Canis lupus familiaris: one gene and its partner. The protein of the gene in region 2 binds, or shares a complex with, the protein of the main gene of each other region. Links are inferred from orthologs where the notes say so. Each region holds a gene or a part of one and is shown on either strand. Other genes may lie near its edges.

Evidence for each region.
Region 1: the proteins of DISP1 (region 2) and SHH are in contact, whole or in part, in a cryo-EM structure (PDB 7E2I), measured with the Homo sapiens proteins. The link is inferred for Canis lupus familiaris from reciprocal best matches to the Homo sapiens genes DISP1 and SHH. Residues at the interface, in NP_001356523.1 of Homo sapiens: Lys242, Thr244, Gly245, Tyr246, Lys247, Ala248, Glu260, His265, Arg299, Phe336, Gly337, Asp338, Leu339, Cys340, Gln341, Arg342, Thr343, Glu459, Arg899, His904, Asp906; in NP_000184.1 of Homo sapiens: Pro49, Asn50, Val51, Thr55, Leu56, Gly57, Ala58, Arg68, Glu71, Phe73, Lys74, Leu76, Thr77, Pro78, Tyr80, Pro82, Arg96, Leu97, Gln100, Lys186.

The regions. Positions count from the first base shown.
Region 1 is NC_049237.1:19,390,717-19,401,949, reverse strand, and holds the start of SHH (sonic hedgehog protein), read left to right. Parts: upstream 1-5,691; 5' UTR 5,692-6,021; coding exon 6,022-6,321; intron 6,322-9,903; exon of another isoform or gene 9,904-10,166; intron 10,167-11,233.
Region 2 is NC_049259.1:24,589,164-24,599,749, forward strand, and holds part of DISP1 (protein dispatched homolog 1), read right to left. Parts: intron 10,560-10,586; exon of another isoform or gene 8,774-10,559; intron 8,030-8,773; coding exon 7,906-8,029; intron 7,087-7,905; coding exon 6,959-7,086; intron 6,863-6,958; exon of another isoform or gene 6,488-6,862; coding exon 6,390-6,487; coding exon of another isoform or gene 6,374-6,389; exon of another isoform or gene 6,225-6,373; intron 4,763-6,224; coding exon 4,665-4,762; intron 1,320-4,664; coding exon 1-1,319. UniProt on the Homo sapiens protein: Functions in hedgehog (Hh) signaling. Regulates the release and extracellular accumulation of cholesterol-modified hedgehog proteins and is hence required for effective production of the Hh signal. Synergizes with SCUBE2 to cause an increase in SHH secretion.

The DNA of each region.
Region 1 (11,233 bases), on a different chromosome or scaffold from region 2:
TCCCGACGCGCCTGCCCCAGGCCTCATGGCTTCTGGTTCTGGATTTGCACACAGAAGGGGAAGTGTCCCTGCCCCGTGTCAAGACAGCAAAGAAGGCCTAGGGCTTGTGGGGGAGGATGTGGGGTGCAGCTACCCTCTCTGCCCCTGGGGAAGGCTGCACGGTTCGAATGGGTCCCCAGAGGCCTCGCCACCTCCATGCTAGGCTGCCCCCCACCCGGGGTAGCCTGCGGCTCTGGGAGTGGAGGCTCATTGCCACAGTGGGGTGGAGACACCTGACAGACACAGCTCAGGGCTGGGGAGTACCCCGAGTTGGCAGCTGACTTGGTTCTCGGTTTCCTCGACTATAAAGAGACTGGTGGGTGAACTCCCCTGTTCTCCCAAGCGAGGACAGTGGTGTCAAGGGTAGAGGGCTGGAGGGCCCAGAGCCTAGGGGCCGCCCCTCTGCACACAGGAGTCAGAGGTCAGGAGTGCTCTAGCCACAGGCTCAGCGGGAAGAACACACAGGGTGTGGGGGACACAGGAGGACCCTCCGTGGCTGAGGTCAGCGCCCAGGCCAACCCTGCAGCCCAGCCTCATGAATCCGGGAGGAACGGCCTCTGCGCTTCTGCACCTCGGCACCATGTCCTGTGTTGTCTCTAAGAAAGTACTTGGATGGAAGTTGCCCAGAGGCTGGCAGCGCCCTGGCACAGGGGCCCCTTGGGGACACGCACCCTCCCTGCCCGAGTCCCCCCCACCCCCTTGGGGACCTGCACCCTCCCTGCCAGAGTCCCCACCCAGAGGCAGGGCCCAGGCAGGTGGGGGGAGGGTGCAAACCTGCTCCAAAATCACCTCCAGGCTCTTGGGGGGAAAAGTCAGCCTCCACCACTTCCTGGCTCCCGCTTCTATGCCCTCATTTTCCTGAGGACCCAGCAGTCCCCGTGTCACACATGCACCCCCATGTCATCCCACCCATGCATATTCTCACATGTACACACTCAAGCCTACACACATTGTCTCTCACCCATGCACACCCACATGTGCACACTCACACCGTCTCTCTCACAGACACTCATACACATGCACACTCTCACACTCACACATACACACTCACTCCTCACCATCCCCACACCCACTCTCTAGAAAGAATCAGAAGCTCACACACATGCTACTCGTCAGCCCCTGGCATGTGATACTCTGTAGCTGCCTGCCAGGTACTGCCAACACAGGACGGGGGCAGCCATGGAAGACACCCCAGGAGAACAGCAGCGTCCCGAGGATGAGGACCCACCATGTCAGGGCCTCTCCCCTGGCTCTTACCTCCAGGGGTTCCCGGGATCCCCAGCAGGGAAGTCAGCAGAGCAGAAACTCTGGACTGTGCAGGGGCGGCCAGGCGGTGCTCACTGGATTTGTCTCTTGTCGACTAAGTTTCCGAGGCAAGCCTAGCTTGCTGTGGGGGTTCACCGCATCGGCGTTTCCAAGGGCATCTGTGACCTAACAAGGTCCAGAGATCTGAGGAATGACCAGCTCGGGGACAAGGGACAGTGTACTAGAGATGGGGTCAGAACCACCAGGCCCAGGCCAGGGAGGGACCCTTCACTTCTGAGCACCTCTGGTCCCACTCACACAGGAGGTCTGTGGCTCCCTGGTGAAACCACCCTGAAGCTGGAAGGGCCACACCCCTAGGCATTGTTTAGACCTGCGGAGAAGCACCCCCCCGCTCAGAATGAAGGTAAGTGACCCCCCCAGAGGGGAGGCTGATCTGGAGAGAGGAGCTTGCACTTCAGAAAGCAGGGCATTTCACGCTGAGTGTGTCTGCCTTAGTACGTCCACTGGTCAAGACTTGGCCTTCCATCTCAGCAGCTGGCTGGGTGGTCTTCCAGCATGTCAGCGTCCTCCTGCACCAAGCCCCGAGGTCACTGCTTGCTGTGTGAGCGAAGTGCCATACGGGCTGGGCAAGTCCTGGGGAAGGGGCATGCTCTTTGCCTCCCAGGGGCTCTGTGTGACAGGGACAGATCAACAGGAAGGTCCCCACTCCAGGACACAAGCACATCCCCTCGGGGAGGGCAGCACCCTGGGCACACCAGCCTGCCACGGCTTGCTGAGCCAAACTGACAAGAGAAGGACTGGGATCATGTAGGGATGGAATGGGCCCTGGGACATCATCTGTGCTCCTGCTGCAGAAAGTGCTGGGAGCCCAGGGGACGCCAGGGCCCCCCCACCCAGGGCCAGGAAGCATAGGCCTTACAGGTCAGGGTGGCCTCCTCCCCACTGCTGGCCTGGGTGATGGAGACACAGATGCAGGGAGGCCAGCCACTGAGCGGACCCCTGTTGGGTGGCCTCGGGGCAGGCAGGGGCGCTGTGGCCTGTATTCACCTGCAGGTGGACTCTACTCATAAAGGGACAGCGGGGCTCTTCCTGCTGGGGAAGTGGGAAGTGGGAGACTCAGATCCCCCGAGTCCAGGGATGGAGCAAAGGCCATGGGGTTGGGAGAACAGTTCTGGAGGGTCACATCCCTCCAAAAATCAGGGGTCCCGGCTGCAGCCACAGTACTTCAGGTTGCCAAAGTGAGACCCAATTGGAGGGAGGAGAGATGGAGTAGAAGTCCTACGGGGAAGAGCAAGGGAAGGGAAGGGCTGGGAGGAAGTGTGAGCCTGCAGCCCTAACTCAGGTCTCAGGAGCACCCGCCCTGGGGAGAAGCGAGGCAGGCGACAGCTTCCTGGGGTGGGGGGCAGAGCTCCAGCCATGAGGCCTAGTGGGGACTGATGTGAGCAGAGGGAAACGAGGGGTCACAGCCCTGGGGAGGGGGCCGGGAGGGGGAGGGGGCCTCAGTCTGGTCTGCAGGATTTCCCAAACTGGCCGAGCCACAGCCTGAAGGCAGAGTGAGGAGGCCATCTAGTGGCGGGGGCCGGTTGGGAGGCGGGGGCAGGCCCAGGAGGCGCCTGGGGGGGTGGGGGCAGAAGACAGGCAGCCACCTGTCCGCAGCGGGGATGCTGGTGAGGGCTGGAGGGATGGCGGGGGAGGGGGAGGGGAGGAGAGGAGGGAGGGGCAAGGCGCCGGGGGGGGGGCGGGGGGAGGGATGGTGGCCGGTGACCCTCTGTGCCCACAGTGAGAAATGGGTCCCTGGCTGGTGCCGGAGGTCTGGCCAGGTCAGGCCGAGGCTGGGGTTTGGAACCTCTGACCTCCGTGGGGAGGGGCCCCCCCATCGTCTGGAGGGGAAAGGCAAAGAGAGGGAGCCATCTGGTGTCTGGAGGTGGAAGACAGCATGTCTGGTGTCTAGAAGTGGGGAGGGGGCGGATGATCGGAAGGGGAAGTGGGGGGCTTGCCGGTGCCCTTGCTTCTGAAGCAATACAGATACACTACAGTTGAGTTTTGTCCAGATTTCCCCCCAACCCACAGCAGGGAGCCTACGCTGGGAAATAGGGTGTCGATGGTTGTTTGACCATCCACCGTCACTTCATTCCTGAGGACAGGCCAGTCCTAGGGCAGGCGGCCCCTGGCGGCATCTGGGGTATCCTGGGCTGGCAGTGAGATGGAGGGGCATCTTGGGGGCAGGAGGCCAGCAGGCCTGGGACCCCCTGGTCGCCCTGAGGAGTGCAGTGTCAAGGCATGAGCCCTTCCTGCTCCTGGCCCAGAGGCAGCCTGCTCCCTGTGGCTCAGGCTCAGGCTTGGGCTGGGGGTCTCCAGGGTCATGCAAGGCACAACGGTGAGTGTGGGGCCTGGATACCCACACCTTTGGGAATCATGTGTCCTAGGCACACACCACCGAGCTGGCCCTGGGCTCCACATGGGGTCGCAGGCCCTGGGCACGAGGTCATGACCCAGTGCTGGGGCTCTTTCACCTCTGTCTAGTTGGTGAGGGAGAGGACAGAGGGAAGAGAAGGGGGAGAGGAGGGGACCCGGCAAGGGTGTGGGGGAAGGAGCCCAGAAGGGTGGAGAGCCCCCAGTCCCCAGGGCTGGGCAGCTTCACAAGGCCGCACCACCCAGTGGCAGCCCAAGACCTGAGTGTCCTCTCTGAATCTGTCTACTGGGAGCACAGACGCACAGACACACACAGCCTGGGCAAGAAGTCTGGCCCTTTATCATCTGCATGGAGACCCTCCTTCATCCGTAGGCCTTGATAAAACTGGGTGCTGCCTCCCCACCTTGCCCAGGGGTGGGCGTTCCCCAGAGAATGTTGATGATGGGGGTTGGGGGCCAAGCCTGGGGGGACCACTGGGGACCTGACTGGCAGAGCCCCCATATCCACTCAGCCGTTTCAAGGCCCAGTTGGATGGCTGTCAAGGTGCTCCCCTGCCCACCCCCCTAACCAGATCCATCTGCACTGAGGTTGGCCTGGGCTGCTCCGGACATCCCATTGTTTTGAGGGCCCAGCCTTCTTCTTAGACCTGGCCTCTCCCACCTCCCTGGCTGGACTGGGGTCCAGGGACACTTCTAACTTCACAGAGTAACACTCCAGGACCAACACCCCCATTCTCCAGGAAGAGCCCTCCCTCCCTTGCTCTTTTTCTAGAGCAATTCCTATATATGAGTGAGATGGGGGTGGGGAATGAGAAGAGGCTGTGTTCTGCAAAATGGGGGGTTTCAGGTTTTATTTTTCTGGTTTAAATAGCACTTCTAGGTTTTTTTTTTTTTTTTTTTCCTGAAAGAAGCACAGGGACTGGGGACTCCAGTATTACGGGCTCTGAGGACTGTGCCCTCCTTGACCAAAAAATGTGCCCCCAGGCCCCTTCCCCATAGTGAGCTTCGGGCCCCCAGGACCCTGAGGGCTGGCTCACAGAGCCCCATGGAAAGCCCGCGGCCGATGTGGAAGGAGCCTGAATTCCACATCAAGCTCATCCCTGGCCTGCACTTTGCTCGATCGATTGATCAGTGGGGGTGGTGTGTGCACAGCCTTGCCCACTCGCCACTGCCCCCAGGCACAATGGGCCTCCGCCCAGCACGCAGGCCCTAGCACCGGCTCCCTCCTCTGAGCTGGGGTGCAGCACCCAGATGCACTTGGCCCAGCCTTCTGGACAGTCCCTCAGGCCACTCTGTACCAGCCCCGGAGCCTGCCTGCATCCCATTTCCAGGGGGTTAAAAATAACGACTTAGCTGAAACACAATAAAGGAGCGGCATTTTCATATTTGTCTAAGGCACCTAAAGCACTTCAAATAGCCGTGCTGGAAGTTGTGGTCAGTGAGAATGACCACCGTCCAAGGATGTTGAATATTCAGGATGAGGCGCAGACCCTCTGTCTTTAAAATGCAGGGAGACTTGGCCTGCATGATAAAGTCTCCAAAAAAAAAAAAAAATTTAAACAGGACCCGGGCAGCTTTGCCCCTCAAACATTTGAGAGAATATTTGTTTGATGACTGAAGCTTGGAGGGGGGGTCTAGACTGTCCTTTAAAACTTAAGTTGGTTTTAACTGAAGCACCTACCATTCTGGAGAAAGAGAAGGGGGAACACCGCGCTGTGCACAAAGCAGGAGGTAACTAGTGTTATCCTAAGGAGCGTGCCTCCTCCCTCCCGCCCACCTTTGTCTCAGGAAAGATTTTTTTTTTTTTTAACTCAAAGGCTTCAGGTGAAAATAAAGCAACTGCAGCCACAGAAAAAAAAAATTTAGTCTTTTTTAGGGTTAAACATCAGAAGACAAGCTTGCGCTGCTTTGGCCAATCAGATACGCCCCTGCCAGCTATAATATAGCACCGAGGGCAGCCTGTCTCGCAAGCTCTCCAGGCTTGCTACCATTTAAAATCAGACTCTTTTTGTCTTTTGATTGCTGTTTCCAGCCCTAACTCCGATGTGTTCCGTTATCAGCGGCCAGCAGCCTGCCACTCCAGCCCCCGTCTGGGTGGGGATCGGTGGCCACTCTCCCGCAGCAGCGGCGGGCGAGGTTATATAGGAAGAGAAAGAGCCAGGCAGAGAGCGAGGGAGCCAGCAGCAAGCCGAGCGAGGAAGGGAGAGCGCAAGCCCGAGCGCACAGGCACACATACTCGCACTCGCGCACACAGACCCGCGCGGGGACGGCGTGGAAGGCAAGGCACTGGGCTCCGCGGACGAGATGCTGCTGCTGGCGAGATGTATGCTGGCGGTGCTCGTCTGCGCACTGCTGATGTGCTCAGGGCTGGCGTGCGGACCCGGCAGGGGATTTGGGAAGAGGCGGCACCCCAAAAAGCTGACCCCTTTAGCCTACAAGCAGTTTATCCCCAACGTGGCGGAGAAGACCCTAGGGGCCAGTGGAAGATACGAAGGGAAGATCTCGAGAAACTCGGAGCGATTTAAGGAACTCACCCCCAATTACAACCCCGACATCATATTTAAGGATGAAGAAAACACGGGAGCAGACCGGCTGATGACTCAGGTAGAAACCCAGCGCCGCGGCGTGGAATGTACTGCTTTCACGGGGGTTGTGTGTAACCAGCCGCTCCAGACCCAGTCTGTTTGCTCTTCAGGCAGATAGCAAGGCGACTTCACCCTCTCCCTCCCCACCCACCTGCCTGCCCGACATCCCTTCCTCTTCTCAGAAGGGAATGGAGGCCAGGGGTCCAGCCCGAGAAGTTTAGGGTGGGGGTGGGGGTCAGGATGGCAGACGTGGTCCACCGATGGCCCTTGTTTGCTCTGTCCTGCCAGGATGGCCTTCCCATCCTGCCTGGGCTCTGCCTTGTAACTTGGGGAGACCTTCACTCTGGGGGTATCCGCCCCTCCGGAGTTGGGAATGGACATGGTGGGAGAGGGGCAGAAATCCCCTCCATACGCATAAAGTAGCTTCCAGGTCACTGTACAAATGCAGCCTAGAGCATTAGCCTTAGGGGAGCGGACACGTTTCTCCCTGTCCACTGTGCTTTTCTCTACCACGGCGACCCCCACCCCTCTGCCCCCCCCAAAGACGCTCAATGGGGAGAGCCCCGAGGCCGCGCTGACAAAAGGCTGGGGCTCCCGAGGCGCCACCTGGCCCCCGAGTGTACAGCACAGCTCCGCTGCCATTCGACCCCGGGCAGTGGTGCCCATCAGAGTGTGAATGTATTGATATTTCTTTAAGGATGCGCTTCCATTCTCCCGAGCCCGAGCCCGCGGTCCTTGAGGGGAGGGACTTAGAACTTCCTGGCATTGCATCACTACGGTCAACCTGCTGGCACGGGACCCGGAGCCGCGGCGAGCTGTTAGCGGGAGGGGGCTAGGACGATGCAGAACCAAAGCCAAACACGTAGCCCCCTCCCTCCCCACCTCTGCCTGAGACTTCGGGCTCCCAACCCCTCCGCCAGCCCTAGACTTTCTCAAACTCCATGCCCGTATAACTGAAGCTAGAAATGGATTTCCTGGCAAATATAGGTCAACATCCTTTTTATTGCCCTATTAAAATATCCAAGTCCTACCTTTCGGGCTAGGAGCGCACCACAGCTGGCGGAGCCGCGGCGGTGGGGCGCGGGGACCGAGGAGGGCGCGCGGGGAGGGGAGCCCCCTCCGGGCCGCTCGCTCCCCAGCGCGGTCCCAGCCGCGAGGCCGCAGGGAGGAGGGAGGGGAGCTGCCGGGAGGGGCCCGAGGGAGCCGGGGACGGGGTCTCCATGCCCCGCTCGCGCATCTGCTCGCGACCACCTTAAATCTGGACCGCGAGTGTGGACGCGCGCGCCTGTGCCGGAGAGCGGCGAGAGCCACAATGAACCGGGCACAGGCCGCGGGGCGCCGGGGGCGCGGCCGGCCGCGGGGAGCCCTCTGACCTGGGTCACCTGGCTCCCCCGCGGGAGGGAGGTGGCCTTCCCGGAGTCCCTCGGAACCGGGAAGGCGGGAGGCGAGGCCGGGCCGGCGGTGGGGCGCGGAGGGGTACGGGGAGGGCGGCGGAGGTCCCACAGCCCGCGAGGTGGGCGTGCGCCCCTTGCCGCCGCGCGGGGCCCACGCGGGAGAGGGATCCCCCGGGGCCCCGCCGCAGGTCACAGGTCGCAGGTGCGCGAGCGCGCGGAGCCGCGCCCCCCGGCGGCCGCACCTGACGCCCCTTCCTCCCGGGTTAGCGGTCCCCAAGGCCGGGGCTAGGGCGCGGGGCGCGGGGCGCGGGGCGGGGGCCGGGGTGGCGGCGAGGCTCCGACGGGCCGGACGGTCGGGAGCTCCGCCGCGCTCCCGGGGGCCCTGGGGCCTGGCGCCCCCGCCGAGCCCCGGCCGGCCCCTGTTCCGGTCGCCCGCCGGGCACCCACGGCCGAGCGGCCCCGCGCCGGCCACTGTCGCCGCCGCGCGCGCTGGCAGCATTTGAACTTCTGACCTTCTGTCAACTTCCCTCAGACGAACGAAACGAAAACAAATACTTTTCTTTCCTTAGGCAGTGGCCATTCCCGTTCCCGGCACAAAAGGACGGGGGAGGGGCAGCCAACGTGGGGGTGGGGTGGGGAGAGCCTGGCTAGGACGGTGTCACGCACCCCACAGATGTCCCCCGAAAAGGCGGCTGGCTGGTGGGGTGGTGCCGGAAGGCGCCCTTCCTCCTTCCCTGGTTCCAAGAGTCGGGGAGGACCGGGCGGCGAGGGGCAGGGGCAGGGGCAGGGGCAGGGCCGGGGGCAGGGGTGCAGCGGGGCCGCCTCCTGGCCCCCGGGGACTAGCTCTGCTCGGGACCCTTGGCCCGCTGGCCGCGCACTCAAAGCCACCACGGACATCCTGTCCCAGGTGCGCGTGTCTCTGCGCCCCGGGCCAGCCGTCCCTCCGCGTCCCCGTCTCTGCACTGTGGCCGCCGCCCGAGTCCCTCAACCATGGCAAGACCGTCCCCGGTGGAACTTTCGGAGCAGTTCTGGAACGCATGAGCTCCTGGTTAATATTAACTCGGAGAGGGGGAAGCGCAGACAGACACGCTCGGCCCGCAGGCGCGGGTGCCAGGCGCGGGCGCGGCGGCCGGGGGCTCGGGGGGCAGGAGGCGGCCGCCGGGGCAGGGCCTGGGGCCGCAGCGGGGACAGCCCGGGACGCCACGCCGGGTAGATCCCCGTGTGCGTGGCGGCCCGGGCCCGCGCTCAGGTGTGGGTTCCAGGAGGGCGCTCCTGTTGGGATAGGACGGGTCTGTTTCCTCGGAGGGGGTGGAGGGGCGGAGACAGGTGTGTGTGTGGGGGGGTGTCTCTTTTGAAGTCGGGACACCCCTCCCCCGCGCCGGGACGGCCAGGCGCCCTGTGGCGGTGACAGTCCCGCCCGGGCGGGTGGGCTCGGGGCGGCTGCGCGGCCCGGGGGTGGCGGGGCTCGGCGCGAGGACGCACTCGGCCTCCGCCGACACAAAGCCGGCCCCGCGGCCCCGCTGGGCTTTCCGGTGGCTGCACAGAGCCCGGCTTGATTCGCAGCACACGACCCAGTGAATGGCTAACCGGCCTGGGCGTCCCAGCTTCGCCTGCGCCTCTCCGGCCGGCGGGGGCACCACGTCCCGCAGGCGAGGGCCGAGGCCGCGCCAGGCGGGGGGCGCGGGGGGCGCGGGGGGCGCGGGGGGGCGGGGGCGCGCGGGAAGCAGGGCGCAGCTCGGGCCTGGCGCGGCCTGGGGCTCCTCGCCGGGGGTCCTCCATCCACCCCATGCCCCAGGGGCGCAGCTCAGGGCGCCTGCGGCGGGCACGCGGCCTCCCCGCGCTCCCTGCCCTCACCCGCCGTCCCGCGGGGAGCCGTGCGGGCCCCCTCTGAGCCCCGAGAGGAGCGAGCCCGGGCGGCGCGGGGCTCGGGATGCGGGAGGTGTGCGTGTGCGTGTCGGTGGTGCGCGCCTGCGCAGCCGGCCTCCCCGCCCGGCTCCGAACTGACCCCGGTTTACTGATTGATTTTCATGTAAAACGCGTTCAATCCTCAAGATGACCTCACTCAAACTCTGCCCCTCCGACTTTTTTTTTTTTTTTTTTTTTTTTAAGAAAACTGCTGGCAGGCCCAGAAACCTGCCAGCGCTGACCTGTTACCAGGGCCGCCCCCCCCCCCCCCATTTGTTGGATGTTTAACTCGACTACCGTACTGCTGGTTTTATTGCTGTCCGACACGCAGGACGTTTCCTGTTGCGCAATCTCCACATCCCCGTAGAGCGCGGACAGCGGGACCGCGGCAGCTCCCCTCGCTCAGCAGGAAAGCAGTCCCCACGCTGTTATTAGGATCCCCGACCGGGTCTTCCTTCCTCCCCGCCTACCAGGTTCCAAAGCCGAGCATGCGCTGCGGGAAGGAGACCAGCCCTACCCTCTGCGGGAGGTCAACTTGAAATTGCCCCGCGTCCCCCAGGTCTGCGTCTCTTGGGGATGCCCCTGGGGGATCCTGCCACCACTCCCCCTCCTGTGAATCCCGCGTCCCCGTCCCTGTAAGCGCCCGGGCCCTGAGCGGGTACCCACGCGGGCGCACACGCTTGCCATGGCTCTGTTTTTTCTAGCATCCTTATCTGAATGTGACCCGAGACTCAGGCGGGGACTCCCCTGACCCCGAGTTTCACTTCGCCCCGGTTCGTGTCCTGTGCACTCAGTGTTTCTGCACATCCACGGCCAGAGCAGCTTCCTCGGGGAGGGAGGGGCACTCCCCAAGGGCTCCGAGGCCTCGGGCCTTTCGGGCTCCCCCTCCCCCACCCCTCCTGCCCCGCCCCCTCCCTCCACCTCTTAAGTTTGCTCTTCAAACTAGCCGGACGCCATTCTGCTCGGGGCCAAGAAAACAAGGGGTGGGGAGGGAACAGGTTAAGGAAAACAAGAGACACAATCAGACCACAGAAAAGCCGGAGAAAAGAGGTCTATGGGGAAAAGGAATGTGGCTGTCCAGATAAAGAATGTTTGTCGTTAGGCCTGGCCCGCATTGAAAATTATTACTCACCTGCTTGCCTTTCACTTCGGGCCCCTCCCGCCCCGCCGGCGGGGCTATCGGCTTCCCACCCCCCTCTCTCCCTTTGGCGGCACCCACGCCTCAGATAGGCACAGGGTAGGAGGGAGGGTCCAGAGATAACCCAAGGCTTTCGCTCTTTAAGAAGCATACCGCGCACGTTCTTTATTTCTGCCAAGTTGCGCCCTGGGCCTGGCTCTGGCCTCCCGGGGAGGGAGTTAGGCCGGGCACGAAGGTGGAGCCTCGCACAGGTGTGCAGAAACGGGGCCACCGGAAGGGATCGGGAGTGGAGGGCAGCGTGGGGGAGGGGGCCTGGCAGGCCCTGCCGTGACCGTGGGAGACACACTTTCCTTGTCTCAAGAAGAGTCCCCTCCTTCTCAGGCCGTGGTGGGGGCTCTGCCAGTCAGACCTCACAGACAGGCCCTCAGTTTACCTGCAAGAGGACTGGCTCCTCCAGCGGATGCCCCCCCCTCCTCCCACCTCAGTGCTCCCCG
Region 2 (10,586 bases):
TACTCGGCGTCGTAGCGCTCGAAGGGGTGCGAGGGCCTGAACAGCTGGAACTCGGACAGCTCAAGCGAGGGCAGCTTCATCTTGGGGTTCACGCACACCACGTAGGCCCCGCCCACGCTCAGGGCCAGGAACCACAGCAGCCAAAGGTAGCGGAGCTTGATGACGACGCACGGCAGCACCTTCTCGAAAAAGACGCGAGAGGCTTCGGATGCGGCGAGCAGCGCCCTGTGGCACTTCCGGCGGGCGGCCGTCCAGCAGCTCTTGCCGTCGTACACCTGCGGCTGCGGCTTCCGGAAGCAGCTGAACAGGTTGAGGAGGTAGCGCTCGTGCAGGACGACCACGGCCGGCAGCCACGTGACCATGAGCACGTAGTTCACCAGGATGGCCGTGCCTGCATACACCCCGAAGCACCGGATGGCGGTGATGTTGCTCACGTAGTTGGCGTAGAAGGCAGCGGCCGTGGTGAAGCTGGTGACGAACATGGACAGCGCTGCGTGCTGCAGGGTGACGCCCACCGTCTCCGCCGTCGCCGCGTGCGGCCTGTCGCACTTGGCGTAGCTCCACACGTCGCACAGGACGAAGGCGTCGTCCGCACCGATGCCGACCAGGATGACCAGCGCCGTCAGGTTCATGAACGGGAAGAACTCGAAGTTGAACACCACGCGGTAGAGGAAGTAGGACACGATCAGCGAGCTGATGACGGCAAACATGGTCATCAGGGTGATGAACAGGGACCTGGTGTAGGCGCACATGACCAGCAGCACCAGCAGCACCGCAATGGCCGGGTAGGCTGTGTCCGTCAGGAGGTAGTCCTGGAACAGGCTGTGCTTGATGCCGAACTCGATCCCGGCCACGGCGGTCACCCCGTCGGAGCCGTTCCAGTTCTCGAAGTTGTCCAGGTAGATGTCCATCATGCTCTCCCCCTTCTCCGTGGGCGAGAAGAGCATGCTGTACCTCAGCGTGGGCGCGGTGGGCGCGGCGGGCGCCTTCGGGGCCAGGAAGTCCTTGTCCACCAGGAAGTGCAGGATCTGGTACACGGCGTTGTACTTGACGCACTTGCGGGGCACGCCGCTGCACTTGAGCTGGCCCTTCCTGCGGGCGCCCGCGTCCCAGCAGTCGGGCTGCAGCGTGCCGTTGCGGTAGTGCTTGGCGCAGGCCCGCAGCAGCTTCAGCGTGTGCGACACGTCCCGCTCCACGATCTGCTGGCAGGACGACCTGTTGTTCAGGATGGCGATGTAGTTGCCCAGCGTCCAGCTGGGGCAGCAGGACGCCACCGTGGTCCTCTGGCACAGGTCGCCGAACTGCGGGTGGGCTCTGATCTGCAGAGAGAGACACGCGGACACCAGCGTTTAAGGCCTGTGGGGGGGGGGCAGGTGCACGGCCTCCCCCAAGCCTCCCCCCACAGTCCCCCCGGCGCGTCCCTCCAGGTGGCAAAGTGCCCAAAAAACCTCCAGTGTGGCCTTGGTCTTAACGAGGAGGTAAAACCAGCAGCTCTCGAGGAGACTGGCCTTTTCAAAGGCACTTTCAGGGCAAAGGAAGGGACGGCGGGGCCTGTGCTCTTCCATCTGGGGGGCTCAAGGGCACAGGACGCCAGCTGCTGCCTTGGCCCAAAACCGCCGGTCATCGGCCTGAGGTTCCGGGCGACAAAGGCACGAATGCAACCAACTTAACGGAAAGCCAAGAAAACGGTTGCCCAGAAGAGCACCAGCGAGCCCCCGGCTGACGCCAGACACCGATGTCCGCAGTGCGCGGGGCCACAGCCAAGGGCATCCCCAAGCAATGAGCACAACGGGCCGCGGTGCCCAGTCCCATCCGTCCACGCAGGTGAGATGGATACTGAGTGGCAGCCGACGACGTGTGCATCCTTTGAGCTCATCTGGTAAAGTGCACCCACGGTGCACGCAGCCTTTCCTCCACGGCGGGAGGGAAACCGAGACACAACGCCAAGGCCAAGGGGGTCCGGGCCTCCACACCACACAACCCGGACGCATGTGCATGAGGCTCAGCCTCCTCCTCCGCAGCCAGAGCGACTGTGTCTCCTCTGCGGGGCTGAGCCTCGCTCTGCCCACATCTCTGTGGACGGTAAAGACAAGTGAGCCGAAAGGGGGATCATTCCAAGGGGACTAAGGTGTCACCCCAAGAGCCTGATCCGCCAGCTCGTTTCTGAAGAGCCACCGTTAGTTGGCGTTTGTGACACAGGGTCATCAGTTCCGGTGGCCTCCGGGCGCAGGCGTCCACACTGCCGACTCCGGGGACGCGGGGAAGCGGCCGTCGGCCTGCTGCGTCTGGTAGGGGGGCGGCCCCGACGCCAGAGGCTCTCGGTCGGGGGCAGCGAGGGTGGACAGGCCGTGGCCGCGCAGAGGGGCACCGTCCAGGGCTCGGGAGCCAGGCGCTGGCGGTGAAGGGAGCAGGGCTGCCGGCCACAGCCCAAGACAATGGGCCTCGGATGACCTTCCAAATGGCAGCAGGGTTTGCGTGCGAGTGAGCGTGGTTTGGCCAAAGGTTCAACGGTGACACGATAAACGCGGATCCACCGGCGGGTCACCTGCCAAGCGCCATCCAGAGTGGGCCCGGCCCGGTCTGCAGGCAGAGGTGGCCGACGGGCGACCGTGCCAATGGTCCTCCAGGACCCGGACGGGCCCAGAAGTAAGGACGGAGACGGCCGCCGTGGCCCCGAGCTGGACGCTGGTGCCTGAACCCACGGGGATGCAGCTCGAGAGACGAACGAATCCATGATTGCGCCGCAGGGGGAGTGGAAGTGACTTCTCACAGCTCGGGGGATGGGGCGGCCACGGGCTGTGCAGGGTGGGGAGCTGGGTCACCCCGTGGCTGTGCCGGGGCCAGACAGGGCGGCGGGGGTGGGCTGCAGAGCTTCAGACGACGCCTTAACCCGTAAACTGCCGGCTACCGGGAGCCTCACCGGAAGGCTGAGAGCAGGACGGGAACAGAGCGCGTCCTGCTATGGGGCCCCTCCGTCCTCACGTGCCACAGGCCGGCCCGCAGGTGCTGCCGGGGGCCCCAAAGCCCACGCCGCAGACGGGCGCTGTGACCTCAGACCCCTCCTGCGAAGCTGGCCGCCTGAGCGCGGACTTCCACGAGGGCAGGACTGAGGAGCCCGGGAGCTTCCAGCGGCCTCGAGGTCCCAGAAACACTCGGCGGGTGTGGAGCCGGACCCCGAGGGGGGCCCAGGACTGGCCTGCGGGGAGCGGCTGCCCTGCGCAACCGGCAGAAACCGCAAGTGAAAGGACACGGTGGCCGGGAGACTGCCCGGCTTGCTCGCCTGTTGCGCTGCATCCGGGCCATCCTCCCTTCGCAGACGCCACTGAGCGCGGCCGGCCGGAAGCCACGCACTTGGACGTCACGGCGCTGACTTCCTGCAGGAATAGCTGCTGCTCGACGTTCTCCTGCCACCTCCTAAGACGCGGCTAGAACGGCTCAGGGCCACCCCCGACGTCGGCTGAGGACTTTTGCAGGATGTCACGACGTGACCCACAGCGGACGGGTGAGGGTCTGGGTGCGCGCGAGCCTGGAGGCACCAAACAGTGAGCCGCAGCTCAAACAGCTACACATTCTAGGCCGTGAGGACTCCCGGAAGACCCCGAGCAGAAACGGCACAAGGACACAGGACGGAAGGGACACGTGGTGGGAGGGACAGGCGTCACCTCACCACCTGCGAAGACAGGACCCCGCAGGGGCGGGCGCTGCCGAGCAGGGGGCCCTGCGCTTGCTCCGGGCCACCGGTCCACACCGCATGGCTTGTAACATGTCCCAGCTTCCGGGTGACGAACTGACAGCTGCAGACGAGGAGACAACGCAACAGGCAGACGCTGGCCAGTGATCCAGGAACTTGGTTTGTTTGCAGATGGTCTGAGTCTGTGCGGGCGCAGCCGAGAGCAGATGGCGCGTGCGGAAAACCCGGCCGGCCTGATGGAGGGAGGTCACACAGTCCTCCCGCTGGAGAGTCGCGTCGGGAGCCGGGGAGCCGGCCCGCTGACCGCCAGGAGCCCGGCCTCCCCTGAGGAGCCCCGTGTGCGGTGTAGACAACAGCACCAGGCCCAGGCCAGCTCTCGGCCCGGGTGCAAGTGCATCTCCCGCTGTCGGTGAGCTCACACGCAGGACGCACGCCAGGCATGTGGCGCCCTCCTTCCCCGGTGGCTGTGTGTGGGCAGGTGCGGGGGCAGCGGCAGCAGAGTGCGCTCTCCGGGGGCCTTGGCCCCACCACTCAGGCTCCACGGACCATCTCGCGTCCTCCATCTGCAAGGGACTCCCCTCTTACAGACGCTGGAGCCCGGACATCCCCTTCCCCGCCCGTGCCCTGAACCTGCCCCGAGACCCGCTGGTTGCCAGAGAGGCTGTGGGGACGAGGACACGGGGGAAACCCTGCAACCAGCTGAGGAGAGACCACCCGGGAAAGGAGAGCCAGCGTCTGAACTGCTGCCCTGGGAGGAAACTCGCGTGGGACACAGGAGGGGGCGCTGCGCTGGGGGGGGCGGATCCGTGGGGGCCACACGGGGGCTCCAGGATCCCGGGGCGCACACGCAGGCGACCAGGACGGAGGCCCCAGCGAGCACCCTCCGCCCGCGCTCACCAGGCTCAGCAGGGAAGCGACCGGCACGAATGCCAGCTCGTTTGTCCGAGACGTACGCCAGGGTCACTTTACATACCCTTGAGTTATCCACGCTGCACATGGACTTAATGGCAGGTAAGCTCCACAGCGTGTCCCCTCCGGCTGACGCAAACACCACCCTGGAGTACCGGTCACCTGGTGACATGAAAAAGAAAAGACAGAGGTTCATAATTGTCCGCTCCCATCATCAGACTCAGCATCCAGGAGCAGCCCTACTGGGGGAGCACAGGACGGGCCATTGGCAGCGGGGTCCCTTCCTACCCACGACACCGAGGGCTTGCAGGCCGTCCAGGACAGGTTAGCAACCGCAATCCGAGAGAACCCGGACTTGGGAGACGCGGCACCAGGACGCGGCACAAGCCCAAGGAGGACACGCTGAGCTGTTCTCCACGGACGTCAGCCGGGGGCAGACGGCAGGGGGTCAGTTTAAAAGCACTGAGACCAACCCGCCGGACCCGAGGGGCCAGGGTCTACACTGCTCTGATGGCGCGGACGCAGGCCAGTCGTGGAGCCTGCCGCCCCTGTTGCCCCCCATTGCAGGCACGCGTGTCTCAGGCACGGGAACCCAAGGACACATCGCTGAGCCGTCAGCGCCGCTTCCGCTCCGTCCGCCCTGGGGACTTTGTACGAGTTCGCCTGGCTGTGCCGACACTGCGGCCACCTGTGACCGTGTGAATAAAGCTTTACCACGCGAGCTTTTATTCACCACCAGGAGGTTTCCTTCAGCGAACTCTTCACCCGACGGCCATTATCCTATGTGGACTCCAAAGAGCAAATCAAGGCCGTGGAAACAGCCATCTCCCCCTCGAGGCGGAGCCCTGGCCAGGGGTGGGGTGTGCGTGTGGACTGCAGGGACCCCATCTGGCCTGTGTGGGGACTGGCCAAGGGAGGCCGGTCTGGGGATGCACACTGCCACTCCGAGACAGACCCAGCAGCCTGGACATTCACCAGAGCTCAGATTTTCTAAAAGTGCAGAAAAAGCCATGTGCGCTCCTTCCCGGGACCAGGACAAAATGTCCCTGACCTCCTACTATGCGCCTGCCTGATGCTGTGGGTGCCGCAGGCTCAGCTACACCTAGAAGCATCAGAGGCCCGGTGAGGCCTGCTAGAGAGCTAACAGGACAGGAAAGCACACATTTTGGGGGCATTTTCAATAGATTTTAAAGAGCTGAGTTCAAAACAGCACTGCTGTGAAGATTCGCTGGGGGAGAAGCTGTAGGTCCTCATGTCCTTAGACCCAGGGCGTGAACCCAGGGTCCCAGGATCGAGTCCCACATCGGGCTCCCTGCATGGAGCCTGCTTCTCCCTCTGCCCGTGTCTCTGCTCCTCTCTCTCTCTCTCTCTCTGTGTCTCTCATGAATAAATAAATAAAATATTTTAAAAATATATATATATGCTCTCTGAAATAAGACTTGAAAAGTATATTTCTCTAAGATAGTAGATTATTTTAGGGGTTCAATCCAAAAATATGTACCTGACAATATTTTTTAAATAATGTAAAAAATTTAAAATGACTTGGAATTTGGGGCAAGATCAAGAATCTCATTAGATATTTTGTGTCCCTTTAAACTAAATCTCTTATTGACTTTTGTTACAGGCAAATAAATCCAGCTTAGTGGTCGACTGACCCTGGGAAGTAAAACTACGAGTCACTGCTATCTGTGTCAGTGCCCCACACGTCTTCCCACCAGTCTGGATTTAATCGTGCTCCATTCTGAGCGCGAGGAGCCCCGAGGGGCTGTTCACCTGGGATGCCACTCACTCGGAACGTCGCAGAAAAAGCTGTCTTTGTGGAAGTTCCAGTCGACTTCTCTTTTCTCTCTTTCATAGTGGTCATCTGACCATCTATCATCCCGATGGCTGAAACGGAACAACAACGTGGTCTTGAGTAAAGTACCGTCAGCAGCACAGGGCACACAGCCAGCAACTATGTAACAGCGATGGAGGCGAGCCGGCATAGAGTAAACGTGTCTCACTGCTGTCCTACGCCCGGAACTAACCACAACGCGATAATAAACACTTAAAAATAATAAAGTACTAGCTGTTTCAAGGCCAACAAGCACACCTGTAACGCTCTACCCTCAGTCATGACCTACTTGAAATGAAAAGGATGCATATAAGCAACCAACATCCATTTTCTCACATCTATAAAAAGGGAAAAAAAAAACCAAACCCTCACTCTTTTTACCTTAATACAACAAAATCTTAAAAAACAACGAGAATGTACACAAATCAGCAGCAAAGACTTCGAGCTTAATCATCTTGTTCGGGCAATGCTTAGAAGTCAAATTCATTCAGCAAGGTTTTGTGTGAAAGTTAATAAACAATTACCTTTTCGCTTGTTCATCTGCGTACTTAAATGGATAATTTGCCAACGTTGCCTTGTATCCCGTATTTTTCACCATGTTATTCCACGTAACCAGTCTCTGGCCTATCGCAGTCCCTCTTGGCTCAAAACCCTGAGACAAAATATCACAAATTCCTATTAGTGCGGTTTGCTTCAGGGTAAGTAGGGTCCCAGCAGGTTGGGGACGCGGTGCTGGGATGCTGTGTGGCTTCGGTAGGAAGCGGGGACGCGCTCGCAGCTGCCCGGGGACGAACAGCACCGAGGAAGGTGGCCCGACCCGTCGGTGGCCTCCGTTCACCACAACAGCGCGGTTAGGCTCCCTGGTACGTGATCCGTCTCAGCAAAGGCGGGCGGGGGGCGGTGGGGGGACTGTATCTGAAGCTTCTCTTTCAAGATCACACCTAAGCAATTAGCAGGTGTTTACTTGGATGTCACAAAAAATTATGGTCACATCAGACCATGTCATGCAGTGTTTTACAGGAACATGTACTTAAAAACAGACCCTGCAAACAAAAAAACAAAACAAAACAAAAACAAAAACAAACCCCCAAAAAACAGACCCTGCTATCATCTCTCTGTGATGCTGAAATTCCTTTCACTGCTCTGCGGGGGGAGAAAGGGAGACATTCAGTCTTAAAGACATTATGAGAACATTTTTATAGAATTCAGATTCTCCATTTTACTGCTTTTTAGCTTAAACGTGGCAGCCAAGGAGGAAAACCTCCAGGTTTGTCGGTGAGAGCAAGTCCGTTGACCTCTTAGGAACCTGAGACTTGAAGGACATGGGTTTACTTTTCAGGAGGAGAACTGCAAGCTCCTGGTGACTCGAGGAGGTTTGGGGGAAACAGGATAGAAGTCACATAATGCAACATGTATTAAGATACTTAATTCCCTGAGGTCACAGAGACGCGATGGGCTGAGTTCTCCTTACCAGCAGTGGATCAGAGAAGTCGGGAAGCTCCGGCACTAACACCCCAACCAAGGCGCAGACTACGATGAGCAGGGTGCACATGCCCAGCACCAGCACGGGCCAGTCGGCTATCAGGGACGCGTAGCTGCGGGGCAGAGAGGAGCACAGGAGGGCGCTTAGACGGACGCGGCCAGAGGCCCACTGCCACGACAGGAGGGTGTTGATCCCAGCTCGGACCCCGTCCAGGGCCTCTCAGTGGGGCGGCGGCGGGACCAGGACACAGCACAGGTCGCGCACAGAGCCCCTGGACACAGGTGCAAGGCCTGCGCCCCGCAGGGAGCCCCCGCCGCCTGCTGTCTCCTCCAGGACTCGCTCCTCCCGCCTTGAGCTGCGTCGGCTCCTGGAGAAGAACACGGTTCACTGCAGGCTCGCAAATTCCTCATCAGAGCAAGCAGACCGCACTGAGCCCAGCCCCGATGGGGCTTGCGCCGTCAGGAACGCGGGGGCCGCCGCTCCAGGGCGGGCGCTGGTTTCGTGCAGCATCTGCACCCAGAACAGCGCCTTCCGGAGGGGGCCGTGGGCACCCACCCCGTCCTCACTCTCTGGCCACCCGCCCGCCGCCGGGCCGCTGGTCCCCTCCCTACCGCCAGCCCAGCCCCCAGGTCCAAGTCCTTTCCTCCGGGCGCCCCTCCGCCCTGTAGGACCCTGGTCCCCATTCTCATCACGGGCTCACAGGTCTCGCTCTCGGGGGCATTTACTTCAAAGTGAATCTCAATATGGAAATTAAAGTGGGGCACGACTATGCGTGCAGGGAGCACGTCCCCTCCCTGGTGCCCGGGGATCCCGCGGGGCTCTCCTTTTCGGCCCAGCCTCCGGAGGAGGGACTTACGCTCACTCCCACGCTTCACACCCATCGCCGCCCTTCATTCTCCCGGCCCCGTGCAACGCGCCGGGGTGCGGTTTGGATACATGCAGAGAGCCAAGGCCGGCCCAGCCGCACGGCGAGCCCGTCCCGCGGAGCACATGGCACGCTGCCAACACCAACACCGTCGTCTCACGCACTTGCAAGTGGCCAACACAGTGGACCTTCAAAGGTCTCATCACGAGAAAACAGAAGCCTGCACCTCGCCGTGGTGGTCGCGTCACCATCGGTACAGACACTGGATCGTCCAGCTGCACCCGAAGCTGATGTGAGGTCGCCTGTCAGCCGGAGCTCACGTGCGGAGTTGCCAAAGGAAGCCCAGCTCTGGCGCGGGGGGCGGGGGAGCTCCCAACCACGGCGACACCATCTCTTGCTTCGAACACGAGCGCGACAGGGTCACAGGACTGAGTCCAGGCGCCCCGAGCCATGCCCCCCCCGACTCGCCCTGTGCCCTGAGCCCCTAAGCCACACACTCAACGTCGTGATGCAAGACCACTTAGGTCTGTGGGCGTCCGCATCCGAGCATCACTCACGAGCCCCGCCGATTCCAAATTTAACAACTCGCTCAGGGAAAATCCCTCTAGATGAGATGGAATGATGCTTGAACGTGACTCCGAATGTAGTAAAAACACGCCGACCGCGGGCGCTGGTTGGGGCTGCTCAAGCGGACACAGCTTCCAGAACACGGAACACGCCCGGCACGGAGAGGCTCTGATTTTATTTCCTCCTCCACCAAATGCAAACTCAAGATGAAAGCGACCGGCAGGGGGGCAGTCGGGTCCTTTGTCAGCAGCGCATTTGAGGCTTCCTGTTCCTGTTCCCGGCTTCGTCCTACACGGTGGACAGGACGTGAAAATGGCCCCAGGCTGAAACCACTACTCACCACGCGGTTTTTTAACTAGACCCGTTTTCCCACAAATGAACCTACAGGCCGCTTGCCGGTGGGGGCACCGGGCCTCATTCCAGCGCCGAGGGCTGACCTGCCCACGTAATGACTTCTGGTCTTGTGTTCCAGAAACACCTGCACACGCATGCGCTGCAACCTGGAAACCCTCTTCAGTCATTGCTTTCCTTCGCGTTGAGAACGTCGGACGTGACTTGACAGTCGCGTGTGTGCCGACTCCCCACGGGAGCCTCGCCGCATTGGCCGTCTCCACACGCGGCTTCCAGACCTGGCCCGGGACACGGTTCCCACGTCCAGGGAGTAGCCGTGCTGCTGCCATCGGGGGAAGGACTCCGACGTGCGTCTGTCCTCAATACCAGGCGCTGCTGCGGTCCATCTGCCGCTCTTGCCGCCCGAGCCCGAGCCCGCACAGCCGTGGGCACCGCACGGGACGCTCTAGGCTCTCGTACATCATGAAACCAGCGCCATGGCGTGACACTACGCTGCAAATCTAATAAAGCAGGAGAACCGGAGGAGTAAAGGAAGTCAGATGTGGCCTAAAGGAGTCAGAGCTACGTTTGCCCCTAACTCCACTCCTGGTGAGTCGGACCTCGGTCCATGCTGCAACGGAGCTCAAAGAAGCGCGTGCCTGCGCATTACGCTCCTGGGAAGCGGACCCCGGGGGCCGGCGAGGACGCATCATAAGGCCCCAGCTTTTTCATAAGGCCCCAGCTTTTACTGTGATCTGTCCTGCACGTCCCGACTGAAGTGTGCAGACGCCACAGCACGGCTGCAGGAGCTGACGAGCCCGAGGAGCTCTCCGGGCAGGCGGCCCGGTCCCCTCGGCAGCACACCGAGGCAGCCGGCACGGACCCGAGGTGCTCAGCTGCTCGCCCC